Linked DNA regions of Rhinolophus ferrumequinum. The protein of the gene in region 1 purifies or fractionates together with the protein of each later gene. This does not show direct contact. Links are inferred from orthologs where the notes say so. Each region holds a gene or a part of one and is shown in the gene's direction. Other genes may lie near its edges.

Region 1 (7,237 bases):
ACAGCTAATAGCTAACGACTTAATCAATCATGCCTAAGGAATGAAGCCTCTATAAAAATTTTAAACAACGGAGTTCTGAGAGCTGCTGTATTGGTGAACATATTGAAGCGCTCGGAGGATGGCACAAGCAGAGAAAGCATGGAAGCGCCATGCTGTTTCCTCCGTATCATGCCCTACGCAGTTCTGCCATTTGGCTGTTCCTGAGTTATATCCTTTATAATAAACCAGTAATAGTAAGTAAAACATTTTCCTGAGTCTTGTGAGCTGTTCTAGCAAATTATTGAACAGAGGAGCAGGTTGTGAAAACTGATTTACTGCCAGTCGGTCAGAAATATGGGTGGCCTTCACTTCCTATTGGTGTCTGAAGTGGACGCAGTCTTGAGGGACTGAGCCCTTAACCTGTGAGGTCTGATGCAAACGCTGGGTAGTTAGTGTCCGAATTGAACTAAATTGTAGGACAGCAGCTGGAATCTGCAGAGAATTGGGGACTTGCTTGGTGTGGAAAACTCATGCATTTGGTGTCAGAAGTTAAGTGTGCGAATCCAGAAACAGTTTTCTTTTACAGCATATGAGGTAACAGGCTCAATTGGCTGGTAGATAGGGAGACAGCAGGACACTGAAGTTCTCTTGTGATTGCTTCCACCTTCGCATTCAAATGGGAAGCAAGGTCATCAGCTAGGAGTAGGGTCAAAGGGGTCAAATATATGGTGACGGAAGATTTGACTTTGGGTGCTCAACACTCAATGCAATATATAGGTGACGTATTATAGAATTCTATACTTGAAACCTATATAATTTTATTAATCAATATCGCCCCAATAAATTTAATAAAAAAGAAAGCAGGAGAAGTTTTTGAGGTTTGACGAGAGAGGAGAAAGTGTAAAATAATCCTTCAACAAAATAGGTCCAACCACTTTGGAAAACTGTGTCCGTTTCTTTAAAAGTTAAACGTACTCTCACCATGAGATTCGGCCATTTGACTCCGAGGACTCTTCTCAAGAAAATTGAAAGCTTAGGTCCACACAAATATTTGTACGTGAATGTTCACGGCAGCATTATTCATAATAAGCCCAAACTGGAAACAACTTGAATGCCCATCAACAGGCAAATGGATAAACAAAATGCAGTATGCTCATAGTATGGAATCCTCACCGATAAAAAGGAAGGAACCACTGATAAACACAACCACGTGGAACCTGATGCCGAGTGACGAAAACCAGACACAGAAAACTACAGCTTGTAGGATTCCATTTGTACAAAATGGGATGACGGACGTGTTCTGACACTGGATTGTTAAGATGGTTGCACAATTTAGTATACACTTACTAAAATTCATCGAACTGTACATTTAAAAATAGGTGCATTGTCTGATATATAAGTTATGCCTTAATAAAGTGTATAAAAAATAACACATTACCAATACAACGAAGAGGGAAAAAAGTAAAATGGGAGGATTAGGGACATGGGATAGGATGGTGGAGAGGCATTGGGGCCCACTTGGGTTTGTGGTCATGAACACAAAGTGCGATCAGCCAGGGTGGAGGTGTGTTTTTCTCCATCCACACTTAGCTGCCAGGGTGCAGGTACAGAGGAGGTGGAAAGTCGATTCAATGGGGTGAAAAAGTACACAGTATGAGGGTGTGAGAAAAGGAGTGGTGATAACGTGGATGGGGAGTCAGGCTGGGCGGTGGGAATAGTAGTGAGGGGACAGGGAAAAGGCGGTCAGCTTAGTGAACTGTCAGGGCTGACAGATTGTTGCAGTAATAGCTTTCGAGGGAGTAAGCTGGAGAGACAGGAGGTGACGGGCACGCAGTGAGATGCATGGAACTGAGGTTCTGTAAGGGCGGCTGTTACGGGGCTGTCACTGTCTGGGGACAGGTCTTTCTTCCCCACTCAGCTGGGACCTCTGGGCTGCCACAGTCACCACTGTGTCCCGAACAAGGTCTAGGTGTGACTGTGGGAAGGAAGTGTTGGGTGGAGGAAAGATCGCTAAAGGAGCGGAGGTCAAGACATCGAGAGGCCATCACAGTCACCTACCTGAATTTGGAACTCACCATGAATTTTAATAGGAGCAGCTTGATTGGCAGTGAGCCTGGAGCTAAAATGATCACGTGAGCGGCAGTGACTTGGGGGTTGACAGAGCTGGCAGCAAGAATGGGAGTAGGTGCTACGGTAGAAACTTCAAACTTAGGGGATTAGGGAGGAGGCAGAGAGAATGGTTTAGAAGTGAAAATGAGGAGCAAAGAGGATCTTACCCAATATACAGGCCCAGTGGGCATGAGGGCTGAGGAGGTGGAAACAGCCCCCACTTGGAGGGGCTGCATGGAAAGGCATGTCTTCCGGAGCGCTAGGAAGGTAAAAAGAAGGTTCAGAGGGAGGTGAGGATATAGGGAGATGTTGGGAAAAGCCCTCAGTGCCTCTCCCATCCCAGCCTTAACCATTCTGCCTCTACCTTCCCTATTCTGGCCCTGACTGCTCTAGGCTGACACTGTCTGGGAACTGGTCTCTCTTCCCTACTGGACTAGCAGCTCCAGGAGGGCAGGCCCCGGCACTGTTTCAGCCACTATTGTGTCCCCAGCACAAGACCAGAAGGCACCCACTAATTATTCGCTGAGAGTGCCAATTTCAGGTCTGAGGAGCAAGCTGACAGGAAATAACTCAGAGCCAGGAGATGATGCCAAGATTCCCGAAAACAGGGCTAGCGATCTTAAATTTGCACTAACTCTTGAGTATTTTTGCCCTTTATGGGAAAAAATTTTTTTTAATTGGGAGACAAACAGTAAAATCCATAAGAAGTAGGTAACATTATCCTGAACTGGAGCTGTTTGAATTATTGCACAGCTCCTGGAAATCCAGAATAGGCTCAGCAGATTTTCCATCTTAATAGTTAAACAAATTTTCAGGAACGTTTCTGTGCCCTGGATCACCCTGCCCCGAGAACTCAAAACAGTCTCATTCACTCCTTCAACAAACATTTGTTGAGCACCCACTCTGTGCCAGGTCCTGTTCTAGGTATGGAGGGATACAACAATGAACTGAACAGACCAGTGGGTTCTCTTGGAGGTTGTTTGCAACGTCTCATAATAGCACTTGTTTTGCTTTGTGGAATGAATATAGGGATGAGTATTAATATTATAAAGCGACAAGGCACAAAATTCTCAACACTTACGCGGAATTGCTTACTCCTTACCCATTTCTCTCTGCCCACACCCTGACCTTGTCCATCCTTGTCTCCTACTCGATCCATTGCAGTAGGTCCCTCCATGGTCTTCCTGTTCCCACCCCTACTCCCACGCTGTTTTCTACATGCAGCCAGAGTGACCCCATGTCAGATCACATGCCTTCTCTGTTCAGGACCCTTCCACAGCTCCATCTCAGTCCGAGTAAAAGCCGAAGTTCTCACCACGGCCCACAAGGCCCCACACAATGTTCTTGTTACCTCTCTGCCTTCATCTCCTCCCACTCTCTCCTGCTCACTCTGCCCCAACCACTCCTCACTGTTTCTCCAGCCCTCCGTTCCTTTCCTGCCTCAGGGCCTTTCGACCTGCAATCCTCTTTGCCTGGAACTTTCTTCCCCCAGATAAGTGCATGCCTCGCTTCTCACCTCCGTTAGCTCTTCGCTCAAAAGTCACCAGATGCACCCCTTAACCACCTTATGAGAAATTTTACCCCTCCCCCAACAATCCCTATACCCTTCCCTGCCTTTTTTTTCCCCTCTAAAGCACTTACTGCCTTCTAACACTCAACGTTTTACTAACTTATTTGGTGTCTGTTTGCCCATTAGAAGATGAGCTCCGGGAGTGTGGGGATTTGTATGTCTTGTTCACTGCCGTATTCCCGTGCCGAGAAGTGTCTGGTACAGACAGGGGCACAGTCCGGGGTGGGTTCCTGTTCTGAGGGTGGAAATGGGTCAGGGAAAGCTTTTGGGGGTAGAGGAGACCTTAGGGAGTTAACTGGCACTAGAGAAGAGAGGCAGCGGGCACAGCCCGTGGAAGGCTTGGTGATGAGTCCTGATTCCTGGGGTGCTCGAACACGCGAAGGGGGAAGGAGGAAGCGTGTTTTGCGTAGAGACCGCCGCTCCGGTAAAAGAAGCGCCGGGAGCGAGCTGAGGGGGCGGTCCCCGGATCAGGGAAATCCCCGCCCAGAGCGCGCGCGCCGGGCTCTGGGCGGGACTGGGGCTCCGGGGGTAGGGCTGCGTGGTTGCGTCACACGCCGTACGTCCCCGCGCGCGTGCGCTCCTTTCCACGTGCGAAAGCTCCAGACTCGTGGGATCCCGGACGCCGCAGACTCCTGAGCCACGCACTTCAGCGGTCGCCATGAGGCCAGGTGCAGGCCGGGGTTGGGGTCGGAGGTCAGGGGCTGGGGTCGGGCGGGAACCGGGATGTCAGATGGGGATCGGAGGGGCGGAGCCATGGCCTGGGGCCGGGGTTCTGAGAGCCGGGTCCGGTTTTGTGTGGGGAGGGGGTCCTGGTTCCGGTCTCGTGTAGAAGAGTGTCTTGGTTCCGCCCTGTGAGCGATCGTGAGCCTGGGGTTCGGGTTCCTGGTCTGGAGGTTTGTGATTGGCTTCGGAGATCACGATGGTGAGTCGAGGGTCTTGGGCCTCGGATTGGGGGAGTTCTGAGCTGGGATTCGTCTCATTGAGGCTGTCGTTAGGAGTCTTGTGAATTGGGCCGTGGGCGGCACTCGGAGGTCCTGACCCAGAGTTTGGATCCAGGCATCTGGGGCGTGGGTTTGGGGGAATCTGTCTTGGTTCAAAGGTGGAAATTCTGGGAGTTGGGTCGCTTTCAGACCCCCATTTGCCTCCCTGTTGCCGCCGGCTACCGCCGTCCCCTTGGCCCCCAGCCTAGCTTTTCGGAGAGGGTCGGAGTGAATGAGGACTCCCACCCAGCTTGATAGTATGTGGCCCTCTCTGGCCCACTTTCGCGCTTTCTACACTCCCGAGGGGGCGGGTCCCTGAGGATGGAGTGGAGATCACGGGCCTAGTCATTCTCAACTCCCACGGTGAGATGAGATTTCAGAAGCCCAGGATAGGACCAGCGTGCGGTGTGGGAGGGAGGTAGTCACAGGGAAGAGTGGTTTTATTCATTCAATTTTCCTAGAGATTCTAATGAACCCACCCCACCTCCCTGTCACGAGAGCCCTGGCTTTGACAGCAGAAGGGCCTCAGTTCAAAGTTTCCACCCTGGCTCTGCTTCCTTACTGTGTGATCTTGGGCAAGTAGCTTTACCTCTCTGAGCCTCAGTTTTCTCATCTATAAAATGGCGCCCAGTTACAATTTAGTAAGATCATGTTAAGAAAAAATAGCACCTGGTAATCATTTTGCAATATGTAAGTGTATCAAATCAACAGGTTTTACACCTTAAACTTACAGAATGTTGTATGTCAATTATATTTCAATAAAGCTGGAAAAAATAGCACAGCGCTTAACATAATAGTATTGGCTCTAGTTGCTATCTTTATCTTCCTTGCGGGAACAAAATTAGGATCCTATTCCCTGGTGTCTCAGTTCTTCCTAAATTAGGCGGTTGCCCCTCTTCCCACCTTGCTCCACTGGAGTAGGGGAAATCTTCCACTGTGACAGAAAGGGTCTGTTTTCTAGTACAGGTTTTCTTTTTTTCCTTTTTTTTTTCTCTCAGCATGTAGAGAGATGGAGTCATCTGGTGGGGAGGGTCATTTGTGTACCCAAGTTCCCTTTCTCTTAAGTGTTTGGGGATCTAATGATGAAGTGGGGTGGGAGGTGCTAGGCTGTGTATCTCCAACTGAGACCTTGGCAGGCCTGCAGGCATCTGTAGCCTGATTCTCCCAGAAACAGAAAAGGTACCTTCCTCCCAAGCCTTCCCCCACTGTGTTACGGTAGGATATGAAGTTGAGGACGTTATCAGGAGTCAGCTCTTTAGTGGGATTTTAGTCTGATGGAGAAAGGAAGCCTTTGGATTTCTGAGCAGGGATGTGATGTCAGTCAGACTTGACTGACACTTTTAAAAGGATCCTCTTGCTTCTGTGTGTAAAAGACTTCAGGGAGCAAGAGTGGTAGCAGGGACATCAGTAGGAAATTTGTTACTGTAATCTACTAGGAGATAATGTGGCTTGGACCAGGGTTGTAGCAGTGGACCTGGCTAACAAATTGTCACGATTTGGGAATACATTTTGAAAATAGAGCCAACAGTTTGTATGTAGGTGTGAGAGAGGAGTTCAAGGATAACTAATGGTTTTGATGTGTGTGACGAGAAGGATGGAGTTGCTATTTTTGAGATGGGGAAGGCTATCGGAGAGCAGTTTTAAACCAGTCTGTGGATCCCCTCACACACATGCTTGTAGAAGTCTGTGTGAATGTGTTTTTCTGAAGAGTGGGTATTTTTAGTACGTTTTTCTTTCTTTTTTTTAACATATACCTATTTTTTCCTGCTTTATTAAGATATAATTGATAAAAAGTTGTGTAAGTTTAAGGTGTACGGTGTGCTGATTTATGTATATATTTTGAAATGGTTACCTTAGTACATTTTTCTTAGAGCGCCAGGACATGAAATGGATTAGGTATGTTTTGAGTATCTGGGACTGAAAGTTTACACTTGTGCCCACTGTACCCCATGCCGTACCCACACTTTTCAGGTCTCTGTTCTATCAGGCCTGGGGGTTGAAAGTCTCTTATGTCTAGTGGTTTGTCCCCTAAGTGGGAGGGAGGACTTTACCTCGAGTGTACCAGGCAGTGTATTGAGTGCTTTGTGTGGATTAAGTCATTTAATCTTTTCAACTCTGAGGTGAGCACTGTGTTACCTCCTTATCTCCACCTTACAGATGAAAGTCACAAGACTCCCATGAACCTTCCCTGTTCTCTAGGGTTGCAAATGGTGTGGCCATCTCCCTGTTTGGGAACTGCTTGAGGGTAGGGCCCAGGGCTCTGGTCACCACCTGATCCCCTACATCCTGAATGAACAGAGTGGGTGCTTTCTCCATGCAGCAGAACCCAGAGGTTTAACAGTGTATTTAATATTTTTTGAGCCCATACTTTGTGCCAGATGCAGTGGTGGTGTGCTGGAGATGCAGTGGTGACCGAAACAAATGACCCTGCCCCTTTGGAGCTTGATTCTAATGGGGGAGGCAAGCAGTAATAATATTTAAAGTGCCATGGGTGGTAATTGATGGAAGAAAAAGAAAGCAGGGTAAAGGTCAAGTAGCCAGAGAAGGCCCTAATGAGGAGGGATTGTTTAATCAGAGACCTGAGTGCGGAGAAGGAGTG
Region 2 (7,198 bases), on another chromosome or scaffold:
TAGGGAGAGCAGTAAGAAATGGGCAGAGAGAGGCAGCATTGTAGAATTTGTGGGCCAGCTTTTATCTATGGGAGATGAAGAAGGCATCAGAAGAGTGAGACTGCCCGAATTGGATTTTAAATGACTACTGTGTTGAGAATTTACTGTACAGGAAACAAATAGGAAATTATTGCAATAATTGAGATAGTGATGAAAATGGCTCATACAAGTGTGGCAGAATGAAGGTCATAAGAGATGATCAGTTTTTGGATATATTTTAAAGATAAAACCAACAGGATCTGCTGATGAGTGGATGTACAATGTGAGTGAGAGAAGTCTGGGATGACGACACAGTTTTTTGGCAACGTGGGTTTGTATCCTGGGAGGCTCTGCCACTTACTGTTTGACCTACACAAGTTACTTAATACCTCTCTGCCTCAGTTTCTCCATCTATGAAATGGGGGTAATAACAGTACCTACCTAATAAGACTGTTGTGATTATTTTATATAAAAAAAGCTTAGAAGTGTGCCTCCCACTATGTATACACTAAGTATTGCTATCACCATCGTCATCATCATCATATTACCTGCTTGCTTGTGAAAAGATGGAGTTTCAGGAAGAATAGGTTTGGGGATGGGATGAAGATCATGAATTCAGTTTTGAACATGTTAAGTTTCTATTGGACATCCAAGTGAAGACGTTAAACATACAGCTGGACATCAGCAGAGTTTAGCAGGAAGATCAGGGCGAGAGAAATATATGTAGGAACTGGCGACATATATAGACAATATCCAAAACCACAAAACTAAATAAGGTCCCTCTAGGGCAGGGGTGTCCAAACTTTTTTCAACGTTTTTCACCAAGGGCCATATTCGGTAAAATACACAAACAGCCAGGCCACTCACTCGAGGTGAAGTACATATGGCCTCACCTGGTTTATTTAAGTAAACTAAATATATTTTTGGAATTTGCTGTGGGCCAATAAAAAATGGATTGCGGCCCACTTTGCCCGTGGGCCGCAGTTTAGACACCCTTGCTCCAGGGAGTGAATACAAAATAGCTTCGAGGACTGAGCCTGGGGGAACTCAACATTTTAGAAGTTGGGAAGACAATGAGGAACCAGCATCCTTCTTCCAGGAGCGGCATCCTGGATATAATAATAAGGTGGTTCAAGAAGAAAGGAGTATTTAGCTGTTTCGAATGATGCTCAGAGATCCAGTAAGATAAAGAATGACAAATGATCATTGGATTTTACAACAAAGAGGCATTGGGAAGCCCTAATAAGAACTGTTTTGAAACAGTGGAGATGAAAATCAGGTGGAATAAGTTCAAGAAAAAATGGGAGTAAATGAATTGGAAACCACAAATATGGACAACTCTTCAAAGGAATATTGTTGCAAAAAGGGATAGAAAAAGAGATGCATCAGTAAACAAATAGATGATTATATGAGAAAACATAGGTAAAGCACTGAGAATAATATGCCTGGTACATAGTAGGCACAAACACCAGCCAAATACAGATAGATCTAAACTTGTGTTTATCCAAGTCTTTGACAAAAATGTGGACCAAGAAGTGCCCTAAAACTTGCTACTAGAGAATTAACAAAGGAGTTTGAATAACAAGCTTTTGAGTTGCTAAAATACTTTTGATAATGTGAGAAAATGTGTTAGAACTCAATGAACGCAACCTCTTAATTTTTTAGAAAACAAAAGTTGAAAACAGAAAGCCAAAAAAACAAACAAACAGTAAGCCAAGTTGACTTGCCCAAAGTTACCAAACTAATTCACTGAAAAACCAAGAGCCAAAATTAAAACCTAGTTCTCCTACTTCCTATTCTGGTTTTCATTACATTTTCTTTAATCTCTCCCTCTCTCTGACAGAAAGGCTGAAAATATTAAGATTGCAATTTCTGTGTTCCCTCTACTTCTGCCTGGCCCTTCTCCTCCTCCAATCTACCACAGGCTGTTCTGTTCTTGACTCTACCACTTTATTTTAATCCAATAAAAACTATGGTTGTTAAAAGGTGTTTTGGGGGAGATATAACATTTTAGTTACCAAAAATTCCACATTATTTCCTATCAAAAAAAATCTACAATAAAACACAAACCTATGCATCACATAGAAAGTAGCTTAATTTTCCCATCTGCAACTAATATAATGTGTAAGAAAAAGTTCACAAGTTGAAATATCACCACATTGATACTGATGGTGAGGAACATTTACTATAACTGACTTTACAGACGTTTAAAATCAGAATATTTCAAAAACTAATAAATCAGAACACAGGATTTTTTGTTTGTTTTCTACAAAACCTTAAGGAAGTAAATCTACTTTTAAACACTATACCGTACTTTTACCACCATGATGGTAGCAGATCCATTTCTTACTTTTAGTACATGAGCCACATTGATAATATGCTGACAATGTCAATTAAAAGTAACACTTGCTGAAATATAAATTAATGTCCCCTTTTACTTTTTTTATATTTAATAATGGCTTAACAGGGGTTTTAGTACTCAGTTTTAGTGATAAGCATTCGATTTCAAACAATCAATAAAGCTGAAGTTTATCAGTTAAAAGATATCTAGCAAACCCAATCACTTTATCTTTAAAACAATACCTTTTAGATTTCAAGCTTTAAACTATAGGTTCTGATATAAATCACCTCTCACGGTTATTTTTTTTAACCCTAGAATGTGCTTCAACTTCCAGCTAAAAGCTTCCACTCTGTTAATTACCATTCTACTATTATTTTCTTAACCTATCCTCATCCCAAAAATGTTGCACATCTACACTGAGGTATATGTAACTGTGCAGCACTCTTAACTTCCTGAGTCACTAAAATGAGCTTATCTGACATAAAAGGCAGCAGTAAGAATGTTGGAATAAACGTATTTGAAAATTAATCTTCTCATTCCACTCGCTAGTAAATGCAGTCAAAATATTAGCGACTGTTCTAAATATCTAGATTTTTACCCTGGTTTTTAAATATTCTAAAGACATACCAATGCCATTTCGGCATTAATAGCACCAACCGAGTCCTAAGAGCTCCGCCGACGTTCGAATCTGAACGTGTTTCTTTTAGGAAGCTGCCTGAGTGGTCTCAACCAACACTCCACACCAAACACTGCTTTTTTCAAATCTAGCCGTGGTGTTCCAGTTTTCGACACCCTTGTTATGTGCAAATGTATTTTTCTTATTAATCAGCCGCTTGAGGGCAGAGACCTGTTTTACAGGCTGCACACCCGGGGGGACCAACAGTGCCTGGAGCTTACAAAGAATGTACCCACGCAAACTATTAATAGCACATATGAGGTAGGATTTAGTCCTTTCATTTACGATTTCATTTAGTCCTTTCAGCAGCCCTGGGGAACAGGTACTATTAATCATCCCTATTTTACAGATGATCACAATGATGCTCAGAAAGGTTGTCGCTAGCCCGGGTCACAAAGGTAGTAAAAGGGGCATAAACCAGGATTCCATGTCTGATTTGTCTGAATGCGAGCACACTTAACCACCACCAACGCGGCCTCTCAACTACACTCGTGACCACCACAGGATATCCTTTTATCTTTCATACACAGTAGGGTCGATTCTAAGCCCGGGATCAGGGGGGTCACACTGGGCAAGCCCAGAGGCCTCTAGTAAGGATGAAGACTCCTCGCTCCAACACTAAGAAGTGAAACACTCCGAACTGAGTGTTTTTGAGCGGCGAGAGGAGATGCGGAGCGAGGTGAACCGGATCGCTGTAACCCAGGCAGGGCCTCCCCTCCCCAGCACTCGAGTGCCGGAGCCAAACGCCGAGGCCGGCGGGAAACCCAGCCCGCCGGTCCCTGCCGGTTCCAGCCGGGTACTCCAGGGCAGCCCGGGGGAGACTAGCCGCGCGGCCTCCGCGGCTCACAGACAGCCCCGCGCGACTGACGCGCCCCCGGGAGGGAGGAGCGCGTGGAGATCAAAGCAGGGACCGACGCACCTCGGGCGGGAGAAGGCAGAGGGGGCTCGCCCTCACTCTGGAGCAGCGGCGGCAGCTCTTCGATGGCTCAGCAGCCGAGGGAAGCGGAGAAATGTGAGCGGCCTACTTTCGCGAGCAACCTTCGGTGAAGAAAAAGCCAAAAAGCGGCTGCAGCCCGAGCAGCGTTGAGCGTTACACCGCCCGTCGCCCCGCCTCTTCCTGTGCCCCTCCCCGAGCCACTTCCGGTGAAGGCTCCGTAGCTTGCTCTAGTTACTCCAGCTCGCTTCAGGCGGGAACGACCTCATCTCCGTTCCTCACCCTACACCACGGGGCGCGCCGGCGAGGCCTGCTTTCGGTCTCCAATAACCCAGCAGAGGCCGAGTGGCCGGTCCCGTGCCGTTTACCGCAGGGCTGCCTCCTCTGAGGTGGTAAAATGTGCTGCGAGAAGTGGAGCCGCGTGGCTGAAATGATTCTCTTCATTGAAGACCTAGAGGAGGATTATAAAATCCTTTGCCTCTGCTCCAGGGCGTTTGTGGAGTAAGTAAAAACGTCTTCCTCTTCCTTTCTAGCACGATCATTTCCCAGAAATGTAGGTGTTGCAGACTATTTGTAACTGCTCCCTGGAACCACGGACAGAGTATTTGACCCTTAGGCAAGGTGATGTTTAAGAAAAAGGGGTAAAAGTCCTCAGACTTTACGGAGTGGTCCCCTACTGCAGTTAAGTGAAGGAGTAAATCTACTTTGTAGGCTGTTAGGAAAAAAATGTGGTGGCTTATATATGTAATTTTATTTTCATTGTAAATACAGGGGCATTTTAAAATTGGGGGAAAGTGAAATGTAAAATGAAATCTCGTTAATGGATGTGACATCACAAGGTGATGGTTTGAAAGATGAGTAACTTGTGTTGGTTATCGTCATTTTTAAAACCTTAAGATTTATTAAAGCGCAAAAGCACACACATAGAACTTGTAATTACCTAAGGTAAAAGATTTAACTAATCACATCCGTTTTTGAGCAGTCTTTATCTTTGGAAAATATATGTTTTGGGTTAAAATTTTCATGCATGGAAGATAACTAGTGAGTAGGAAAACTGCCTAAAGAATTATATTCTAGGGATTGTTTTCTTTATATTCGATGTGTGAGTTCAGCCACTTAATTTTTGCTCATCTCTAAAACAGGTGTATTTACCATAATCATCTCACAGGCTTATTGTTAGATTCAACTTGTAGAAGTGAATTTTAATGTAGCTTAATGTAGTAGAATTTAAGTTTGAAACAGTGCTTCATCATTTGTTTTTGTGGGGTAATCTGAAAATCCGATAGAAATTAAACACTATGTTATATTTATGTGAAAGTATTGACATTTTTGTATTCACGTATGCATGTATTCATTCAGTCAACAAATCTTAGTTGTGCTTCTTTGTATTATGTACGAGTAGGCACGGGGGTACAAGACACAGCCAGTCCCTACACCCTTTGAATTTACTTTCTAGAGAAGGAGATCAATATTAAGACAACTGTTACATAATTATCTGATTAATTATAGTTATAAGTGCTATGGAAGAGAAGTACAGGATGCTGTGGTGGCAGAAACCTAACCTTTCTCCACAGATGACAATGATTTCTTTAAGGAAGTACAGTAGCATTTGAAAAGAGGTCTAAAGTGTGAATGGAAATAAACTGGGATATGTTTATTTAATGGAGGAAGCATTCCCCAATCAGAACTCTCTGAAAGCCTTGAGAAAGCAAAAGAAAGCCTGTGAAAATAAAACAAAATGACTGGGAAAGAAAGACAGAAGATAGGGTTCATGAAGTAGATAGAAAATAGGGTTAATGAAGTAGGCAGGATCAAAATATGCAGAGTTTTTTGGAGGACGGGATCATTTTTAAATGATCATTACGTTTTTAAAGATTACTCTAGCAGCAGGGTGGGGGATGGTTTAGAGAAGGAGAACCACTTAAAAAAACCATTTTCCAGGCAACAGATTATCGTGGCGTGGATAAGGATTGGTGGCAGTGGAAATGGAGAAAGGAGGAAATATAGGAGAGAAATTGTTGAGTTTAGGGGATTGGATTGGATGTAGGGGAATGAAGGAAAGGTAAAAGATGGGAAAGAGGAGAGTAGGTCAAGGGTAACTCCCTGGTTTCCAGCTTATATTGATGTGTTTCACTGAGATAGGGGTCACTAGTGAGTCATGGGTTTTGGGGGGTATAGCAGAAGATAATAAAAAGATAATCAACTTACTGTGTTTTGATTTTGGAGTAGCTATCAGATATCCAAGATTAAATGTCATAGGTACTTAAATATATTGGTTTGGAGCTCTAGAGAAGTCTTAAAACCTTGAGCCATTCTAGTATAGTCATTGAAGCCATTGATTTAGCACTTGGGGCGGGGGTTGGGAAGAAGTGGGATCCATCTTTGAGGAATTCCAACATTTTGTGAAGATTAAAAGGGGAGGAAAAGGTAGAAGACAAGCTCAAGTATACTGTCACCAAATGTTTGAAGAAAGGAGTACATTGGAAAGCTGATGCAATATCAAGCAAATTGAAAACTAAAAAATATCCACTTATAATTGGCAGGTTTTTTTAATAAAAGCTACTTGCTGAGTGCCAGGCACTAATTGTTTTACACTTCATTCTGTTTTTTTCCCCATGTAAGCATCCCAGCAACACCCTGAGATATGTCTTGTAATCTTTATTTTGTTCTAGTAGAAAACGTAGTCTCAATAATGGCCTTTTTAAAAAAAAATCCCAGTCAGGTAAGTGGCAGCCCTGGAGGTCTTTTAATTTGTCTAGAACATAAGTGAATCTTTCTGATTAAGGTATTTAAGTGGTCTAAAGTCACTGACACTGGTGACTCGTTAAAATACTTTAACATAATGTATTTTAGTTGAGATAGAGAACTGCTGCGGAAACTGAAGAGCCTGAATTTATCTCTGGTCATACCTATGTGACAGTGTCTAGTGGTGATGTCTGGTTTTTCATATACAGAAGAATCATAAACTCAACAAAATCATTGGATATGTCCTTTCCCACAAGTTCCTGAGCCAGAATTTAAAAGAATATTGTCCTTAGGAGCAGAATATCTATCTGGGCTTCACATCCCAGCTCTACCAATAATCAGCTGTGTGGCCTTGGACAAGTCACATAACATTTCTGTGATCTCATTTCGGCACTTTCAGAAAGGACTTCCTTTTATTACTATTATACTTGAAACTAATCCACAGCCCTTTTGCAGTAGAGAAATTGCTATTTGTACTTAAGAA
Region 3 (7,385 bases), on another chromosome or scaffold:
TCCCCGGCAAGGTGGCCGCCACCAGCGTCATCACAATAGTAAAGTCCAAGACGGACGCCCGGTCGTAGGGACATGCGCTTGCCCAGGCGGGTCTTCGAGGGGCCACTAGGCGCATGGCGAATTTGGCAGCCCTGTCCCCCCTTTCTCCTCTCCTTCCCTCTTCCTCTCCTACCTCCTCCCTTCCCTGCAAAGCACAACCTGCACCCCAGGGGCACCGGGCTGAGCCCCTTGATCTCGTCGTTGTCATCATGTGTTTTGTATGTTGGGATTGGTCAGTTCGGTGGTGACGTGGGGCCGCCCCAGCCCTTTGTACTAAGGCCATGTGGGCTTGGAGTCCAGAGTGGTCCTGTGCGAATGGGCAGAAAGATCGAGCAAACACTAGGGGCTCAAGGGTCCCTGAGCAGGGAGCGTGCTAGGCTGAGTGTCCCATAGGCTCTGGCGGCCGCCTGCACTGGCAGGGGCCTGGGTAGTTCACAGCTCAGCCAGAGGTATAGATGGGCTCTGCTCCGAGGAGGGTGTCCTTGGGGACCCTGGACAGGCAGGCCACCAGCCTAGGTGCTTGGGGGATGGGGCGTCGTGCGGCTATGGGCCCGGGCCTCGGCACTCTCGCCTGACGCATTGCACTGAACAAGACCAAACCACTGGTTGTGAGCGTACGTGAAGGGTGTGTCCAGTGTCCTGCGATGGGTCCCGTGTCACTGTTTACATGACCTATTTGTGTGGTTACATAGCCCTTTATTTAAAAGAGAGAAGTTCCTTTTACGAAGTTATTAAATTATATGTTTAAAAGCTAAAGAAAAAAAAAGAGCTGCAGAGTATTTATAAAACTGTCTTTTTAAAAAAAAAAAACAAAAAACAAGCAAGAACATTTGACCATATAAATGGAAAAGGGAAGAAAGTATAATAGAAACTGCTAGTTTAAAAAAAGAAAAAAAAATCCCTTTCTTGTAAACTTACAGACAAGTCTTTGTGGCTGTTGGAGTTTAGTTTTTATATACACAGAGTTATCAGATGTTATTTATAAAACTTAGTTTAAAAAAAAGACAAAAAAAAAAAGCCAAGCCGCGAGCGACCAGAAGGCACGTCCTGACGTCCTCTTTGCTCTCTCTTTTGCAATTGTACCGAAAGTGACTTACTCCTTTGCCCTTCCTGCTTCCGTCTCCTGTCTCCTGCCGGTGCAGTGGTGTCGTCTGTGCCTGGTGAGGTGTTGTGCAGCGTCACGTGCTGGTGCTTCTGGTGACCTTTGACCTGTGGGTGTCACTTCTTGTGTCTATTTTCCTGTGTTTGTTTTGGATTTGGTTGTGTTTTGCTTCTGCTGGCTTGCCAGGCTCAGGCTGGGGTGCCAGGCGGTACGTGCTGCAGCAGAGCTGGGGGGGTTGGTGCCCACCAGCCTGGCCTCTTCTGCCTCAGCGTCTGCCCCAGACCTCCAGGAGGTCAGATTCCGGGCTCTGCCACTCCTACCCCCACTCCCCTCTGACCCTTGGCTTCGCATGCGTGTCTCAGGCTTGGGCTGATCCATTGGCAGGGTAGGTGAAACTGGGGGCCATCCCGGGGGCTCCCCATGCTGCTACCATGCCCACCGCCTCTGGCCCTGGGTGGGGGATTTGCAGGGACCAAGGAGTCACTGTGGGTGCCCACGGGGCCACGGCCAAGCTGCCCCTGCCGTCTTCCTTCTGGTGTCCAGTCACCGTGCTTGGGCTCTGGCCACTGACCCCAGCTTTGTTCTTCTAGGCTTCACATGGGCCTCAGCAGGGGAACCCCAGGGGCCCACATAGGGGTTGCAAGACCTGCTGCCCAGTTGTCCCAGGACTGTTTCCATGCTGCGGGTGGTGCTTCCCAGGCAAAACCAGGTGGTTTCGGGGCCCACCTGGGGCGGTCCTTTCTGCCTGCCTGAGGGCCTGGGGGTCTCCACCAGTGCCAGACAAGGGCTAGTGTCCAGGGCCGGTCCTGCCCCTCCTCGCCCCTGAATGTGCTGGCAGCTCTCGGCTTTGGGCCTTCTTCCGCCTCCCTTTGGGTCTGTGTCTTCCAGGGATCCACTGCCCAGCTTATGGAGGTGCTTCTCTTGGACTGAGCCCACACTCACCCCCATCCCGGCCACTCGGCAGAGGCAGCCAGTCTCCCAGACTCGGGTGGGAAGCTCATAGGCACGTGACGGGCTGCCTGTGGCGTCTCCCCAGGAGGCTAGTGCCCCGTCTCCAGCCACATGGGCCTCATTTGGCCTCTCCTTGGGTTGGCTTCTCTGGGGGCCCTGACCCCCTGAAAAGCACAGAAGTGCATCAGTGCTGCCTGGTAGGGTTTAAATTAACCTTGTGGGCAGCAGGATTTTCATCCCAGAATTTGACCCAGTGTGCCCATGGGATGGGAGTAGGATGTGCTGTCAACTTCTGCCATCTCGATGGGCTTCTGTGGACCCTAAATGCTCAGAGACGTTCCTAGTTGTACTGGAGTCAGCCTGCAATGGAGATGTTGACTGTTGACTCCAGATCACAGAGTGGCTTCCTCCCCTTCCAGTCTGTCTGTTTCGCAGGCTCCAGACGAGAGTTGTCAATGGTTGTAGCAGCAGTGAGTTGGAATTGCATCATAACAGCCCCTAAAGGGAGGTCACGTTCTGCCCTGGTGGTGGGAGGAACAGACCCTCCATGTCCATCTACGGTCCCCACTTTTGTCCTGGCCGGGAGGTCGTTGTCCACTTCGGCACACCCCTGCCAGGCTGTAGACCTGGAGGGTTTGAGGGCAGGCATGTGTTAACACATATTGCAAGGCCTTGGTTTCTGGAAGTTTCTGGAGTTAGTGAGGCCGTGGTTTCTTTCAGGGTTTTTGGATTTGGAACAACTGCTCCTTGGGTCTGGGGGAGCATCCAGTTCCCATCAAGCCAGGCCTGCAGGGCCACTCCACCCCTTTCCCTCCCCTTGGTTTCTTGACAGTAGACTGTGTCCACATGTGACTGGTTGGTGTCTTTCTGATTCTTGTTAATTTGGTTTTCCTACTGTGAGGGTGTTGTGTCCCCTCTCTCCCCTCCACTTTTCTGACACAGCAAATCGAGGGCTTCGGCCAAAGCCAGGTCTCCCAAACTTGTCCGCTCAGTAAACCACAACGTGCACCTTTGCTCCCACCGTGCCCTCGCCCAACTCCTCCCTGTCCCAACATGGACATTTAGATTTCAGAGAAGCCTGTGGGAAGAGGTCAGCTCCTTCCCAGAGTACGGCCCCAGGGAAAACTCCCCACAGCCCTTGGCTGCTGCTCCGGTGGCACTACCCTTTGTACAGGTGAGAACATGCGGCTGCTGTATGGCAGCTGGCAAGTGTGCTGGTTTCTGACGGGCTTTCCTCCTGTTGGTCCAGGCTTCCGGTCTGTGTGCACAACCCGGACCGTCAGCAACAGCCTCAGTGGTCAGTGCCCGGCCCACAGCTCTGATCTATAGCCTGCTTTGGGACGGGTGGTCAGGCCCCATCCGGTCCCCGCTGCCTCCATCTCTGGAGTGGCCACTTGGCCAAAGCTCCTGTCCACAGCTGGAAAGCCGGAGCCACAGGCTGCAGTGCTGTTTCCGCTCTGGGATCTTGTAAGTTACTTTTTTAGGCTGTGGTTTGGTGAAAGGAACCAACACATTAACGATTTTTTTCCCCAGAAGCCACTGAATAATTCTTTTTGGCGCGTTTTTGCCTTCCTGTTGGCTGTCTGGTTTTGGAGCAGATGGGGACAGAGAGCGGAGGACACACAGAGGCAGGGGTGTGCCCTCGAGACTGATGGCCTGTCCTGGGCGTGTGCTGTACCTGTTGGGCCAGTCGCATACATTTCCACCCCAGCCTTGGTATGTGGGTGTCCCCAGTGAACTATGAGGAGCGACCCTTCCAGCAACCTCGTGTCCCAGCACCTCCCTTCTTCCCATCCCCTCAATCTGCTAGTCCCGGAAGCCTTTAACCAAACGGGAGTGGGTACAGAAAGCCTTCTCCTGGCATCTTAGGGCAACAGGACAAGGGCTGCCAGTGTGTCCAGCTCTGCTGCTCTCCTGGCGCTGAGAGGGTGGGTCCAGGCAGAGTTGATCAGACCCTGCCTGTCCTGCCTAGGGCTGAAGTCAGGGGGAGGTGGGGGTATCCTGGGATCTGCCCGGGCGGCGGGGATCGTCGAAGCTCCAGGTGGGGAGGGGCCTCGTGAGGGCGGCCCGCTTAGGCGCCCACCCTGCCCTGTGCAGTATTTATTGCTAAATTATTGTCCAGGAGGGGCGGCACTGGGCCGGGCCCCGGGTATTTATTGCTGTACATAGTGTATGTTTGTGATATATAAGGTTTTCTTTATTTTGTATATGATCAATAAACACCTTTTAAAGAGACTTGGCAGGTGCTTAAATTGGGGCGGTGCGGGCGGGGCCGGAAGGGCGGGGCAGGGCCTAGCGCGCATGTGCCGGCGCGCGGCCTGCCGGGAGGCGGAAGCGGAAGCGTGGATCTCCTCGGGGCGATGGCAGCCGGGGGTCTGAGCCGCTCGGAGCGCAAGGCGGCCGAGCGGGTCCGGAGGCTGCGGGAGGAGCAGCAGCGGGAGCGCCTCCGCCAGGTATGTCACCTCTTGCCCCGCCCCGCATCCCCGCCTCGCGTCGCCCTCACCACCTGCCCCGCGCCCGCAGGTGTCGCGCATCCTGAGGAAGGCGGCGGCCGAGCGCAGCGCAGAGGAGGGCCGGCTCCTGGCCGAGAGCGCGGACCTGGTGACCGAGTTGCAGGGCCGGAGCAGGCGGCGCGAGGGCCTGAAGCGGCGGCAGGAGGAGGCGAGTCCCGCGCGGCGCCCGGGTCTGCGGGCCTCTCGCCGGGTCGGGGGCGGGGCTTACGAGCGGTCTGGGTGTCTCGGCAGGTGTGCGACGACCCGGAGGAGCTGCGGCGGAAAGTCCGGGAGCTGGCCGGAGCCGTGCGGAACGCCAAATACCTGGTCGTCTACACTGGCGCGGGCATCAGCACGGTAGGGAGGCGAGGCGTGACCATGGCCGTGCGCCCGGGTCGACTCCCAGGTCCGGACGAATGTCGGACCACCGGGCGGGGGGCTGGAGGGGACGCGCCCGGGGCGCCCCCTTCTGGGCGTGTGACCCAAGGACTGAGGAAAACTACTGGTTCGCAAAAAAACTCACTTTAAAAGCAGCCCTGAGGTTCTTTCCTCTCTTAGAAAAGCCGGAGATGACTCAATTTGGAACGTCACTGAGTAGAGAAACGTTTTTACAGGATTGAAGTCCGAGTTAGACCCAGTTAGCGACGAGAAAGGAAAAGGAATAGAAAGGGGACGTAATAACTTAGTTCTTGCAGGCACCTCTTCGTTTAAGCCAAGGAGGTTAATTTACTGTCCCAAAGTTATGTGGGCAGAGGTAAGCCCCAAACTGTGTCCTGATTCCCCGTTCATTGTTTTTCTGAGTGTTGAAGGAAGGTAAAGCAGAAAGCAAGGCCGTAAAAATTAAAGTACACCCGGCAAAGAAGGGAGGTGTGTTGGGTTTTGAAAACTTCCATGGAGATGTTCTCCTGGGCCATGGAATGGGTATGAGCTGCTTTGACAACGTGGGTGGCACGTTATCTGTCTGTCTGATGGGGTGGATTGAGTGTGAGCCGCGTGCAGGCCCAGCAGAGGTGAACACAGGATTTCCATCCTGGAGAAGCCCACAGGTGACATGAAAAGGCATATAAGCATGTAGCTGTCACGTGAAGCTGGCTGTGTTAGGTCAACAATTGAAATCCACACACACCCCGTGGTCTCAGCTGGGAAATTATCCCAGCTGGGTTTTTGTAGGAGGTGACACTGCGTCTGGGCCTCGAAGTGTGGGTAAGATTTTACGGGTGGTGACATGAGGCAGGGATGAGTGCAGGGCAGTGGCTAGAATGTGTCGGGTGGGCTGACGGTTGTGACTTACGGACCCTCCGGAGCCCTGGCAATCTGGTCTCCTCCCTCCACATTCACGGGTGAACTCCCGTCGTGTGATTATTTAAAAGCAATAATAATACCTCTGAAAGAGCTTCAGGTGCCTACTTAAAGGTGTGTGCTGCTCATTAATTTGGGGTGAGTGTTGCTGTTTGAGTTTCCCCTGTGTGATGTGAGTCGGAACCACGGGTCAGGGTGGGCACTTTTTGGAGCGTAAGCAGCAGGGAGGAGACAGGGCTCCACAGAAGGAGCACAGAACACCTGGATCCTGGCACACTCTCTCTCTTTGTCTTGCGTGGCTTTGTTCCACTGGATTGGGAACTTGGGCAATTCAGTGGTGTTTATCTCTCACCTGGAGAGGTTGGCCTGTCTTTGTGAAGGTAGGGCAGGAAGCACAGCATCAAGGTGGAAGAATTTGGACAGAGGAGGGATCCCACCTAGGGGATCACCTCTGCATCTTTCTGGTGTACTGGCTAGGCCCAGGGGACACACAGGTGAGGCTGACCAGTCCCACCCTCAGTGTGGAGGACAGGTGTGGCTGCAGAGCCAGGCTGTACTGAGGATGGCTCCCAGAGGAAGCGTAGCTGGAAGGATGAGCTGGACCAGGTGAGAGCGGGAGTCCAGGCAGAGGGAAAGAGCCACATGGGCTACTCTCCATCTGGGTTCAGGCATGTTAGACTAGGAAATGCTGAGCCTGTGGAATGAATAGAGGCCGGTCTGCAGGTCAGCCTGCAACACGCTGGGAGAAACATATGCTTTCTGTCCTTGGGAATTCTGTCAGTGGCTTCTGTGATGCCTTTTTACCAGGCTTATCTTCTTTCTGAACATGCAGGCAGCCTCTATCCCAGATTACCGGGGTCCTAATGGAGTGTGGACGCTGCTTCAGAAAGGGAGAAGTGTTAGGTAAGCAGTCTGCCCAGCCTTGCCACCGAGGGAGCAGGGCAGCAGGAGCCTGACCACGAAGCTCCCTTCACCTGTACCCCCTTTCACCTGGCAGTGCTGCCGACCTGAGTGAGGCCGAGCCGACCCTCACCCACATGAGCATCGCCCGCTTACATGAGCAGAAGCTGGTAAGAGCCCTGTGTGGCCAGCTGCTGTGCTTGCCGTGTCCACAGCGTGGGACCTGGAGCACCATTTTGGTGCTATAGTGACAACTGCATCCTACTTCTATGGCCAGTGGACCCCCGTAATGCGTGCCCACCAAGCAGTTTAGAGTCCTGGTTTGGGCCTCCCTCTGATCCTCCATGCTTTCTCTTCAAGAGGGCAGCTTCCCCTCTGAGTCATCCCAGCTAGAACTCATAGGAAGTCTCTGGAGACCTTCTGCTGAGCATCTCCAACCAAGTGGGGAAGGGTCGATCCTCCTGGGTCTTCAGGGACCTGAAACTGACCCAAGAGGGCATCAGCCTGGGCTTGAGCCCCGTGCAGCCGAGGCTCACCCTGCTGACACTCCCAGTGTGTCAGCCTTTGTTGGGGCCGGCCGTGCTGAGCCCTGCTCGGACCAG

Evidence for each region. Proteins that work in one complex are often made in the same cells at the same time.
Region 2: the proteins of FBL (region 1) and TGS1 purify together in Homo sapiens (affinity purification with mass spectrometry; 3 studies listed by BioGRID and IntAct, counting the BioPlex papers as one, with this or other methods). This does not show direct contact. The link is inferred for Rhinolophus ferrumequinum from reciprocal best matches to the Homo sapiens genes FBL and TGS1.
Region 3: the proteins of FBL (region 1) and SIRT7 purify together in Homo sapiens (affinity purification with mass spectrometry; 3 studies listed by BioGRID, with this or other methods). This does not show direct contact. The link is inferred for Rhinolophus ferrumequinum from reciprocal best matches to the Homo sapiens genes FBL and SIRT7.

The regions. Positions count from the first base shown.
Region 1 is NC_046298.1:38,810,854-38,818,090, reverse strand, and holds the start of FBL (rRNA 2'-O-methyltransferase fibrillarin), read left to right. Parts: upstream 1-4,226; 5' UTR 4,227-4,316; coding exon 4,317-4,326; intron 4,327-7,237.
Region 2 is NC_046297.1:22,291,830-22,299,027, reverse strand, and holds the start of TGS1 (trimethylguanosine synthase), read left to right. Parts: upstream 1-4,198; 5' UTR 4,199-4,366; coding exon 4,367-4,470; intron 4,471-7,198. UniProt on the Homo sapiens protein: Catalyzes the 2 serial methylation steps for the conversion of the 7-monomethylguanosine (m(7)G) caps of snRNAs and snoRNAs to a 2,2,7-trimethylguanosine (m(2,2,7)G) cap structure.
Region 3 is NC_046304.1:54,692,971-54,700,355, reverse strand, and holds the start of SIRT7 (NAD-dependent protein deacetylase sirtuin-7), read left to right. Parts: upstream 1-4,385; 5' UTR 4,386-4,452; coding exon 4,453-4,545; intron 4,546-4,615; coding exon 4,616-4,753; intron 4,754-4,836; coding exon 4,837-4,941; intron 4,942-6,715; coding exon 6,716-6,786; intron 6,787-6,880; coding exon 6,881-6,953; intron 6,954-7,385. Other genes in the region: transcription factor MafG, read left to right, coding at 1-68. UniProt on the Homo sapiens protein: NAD-dependent protein-lysine deacylase that can act both as a deacetylase or deacylase (desuccinylase, depropionylase, deglutarylase and dedecanoylase), depending on the context. Specifically mediates deacetylation of histone H3 at 'Lys-18' (H3K18Ac).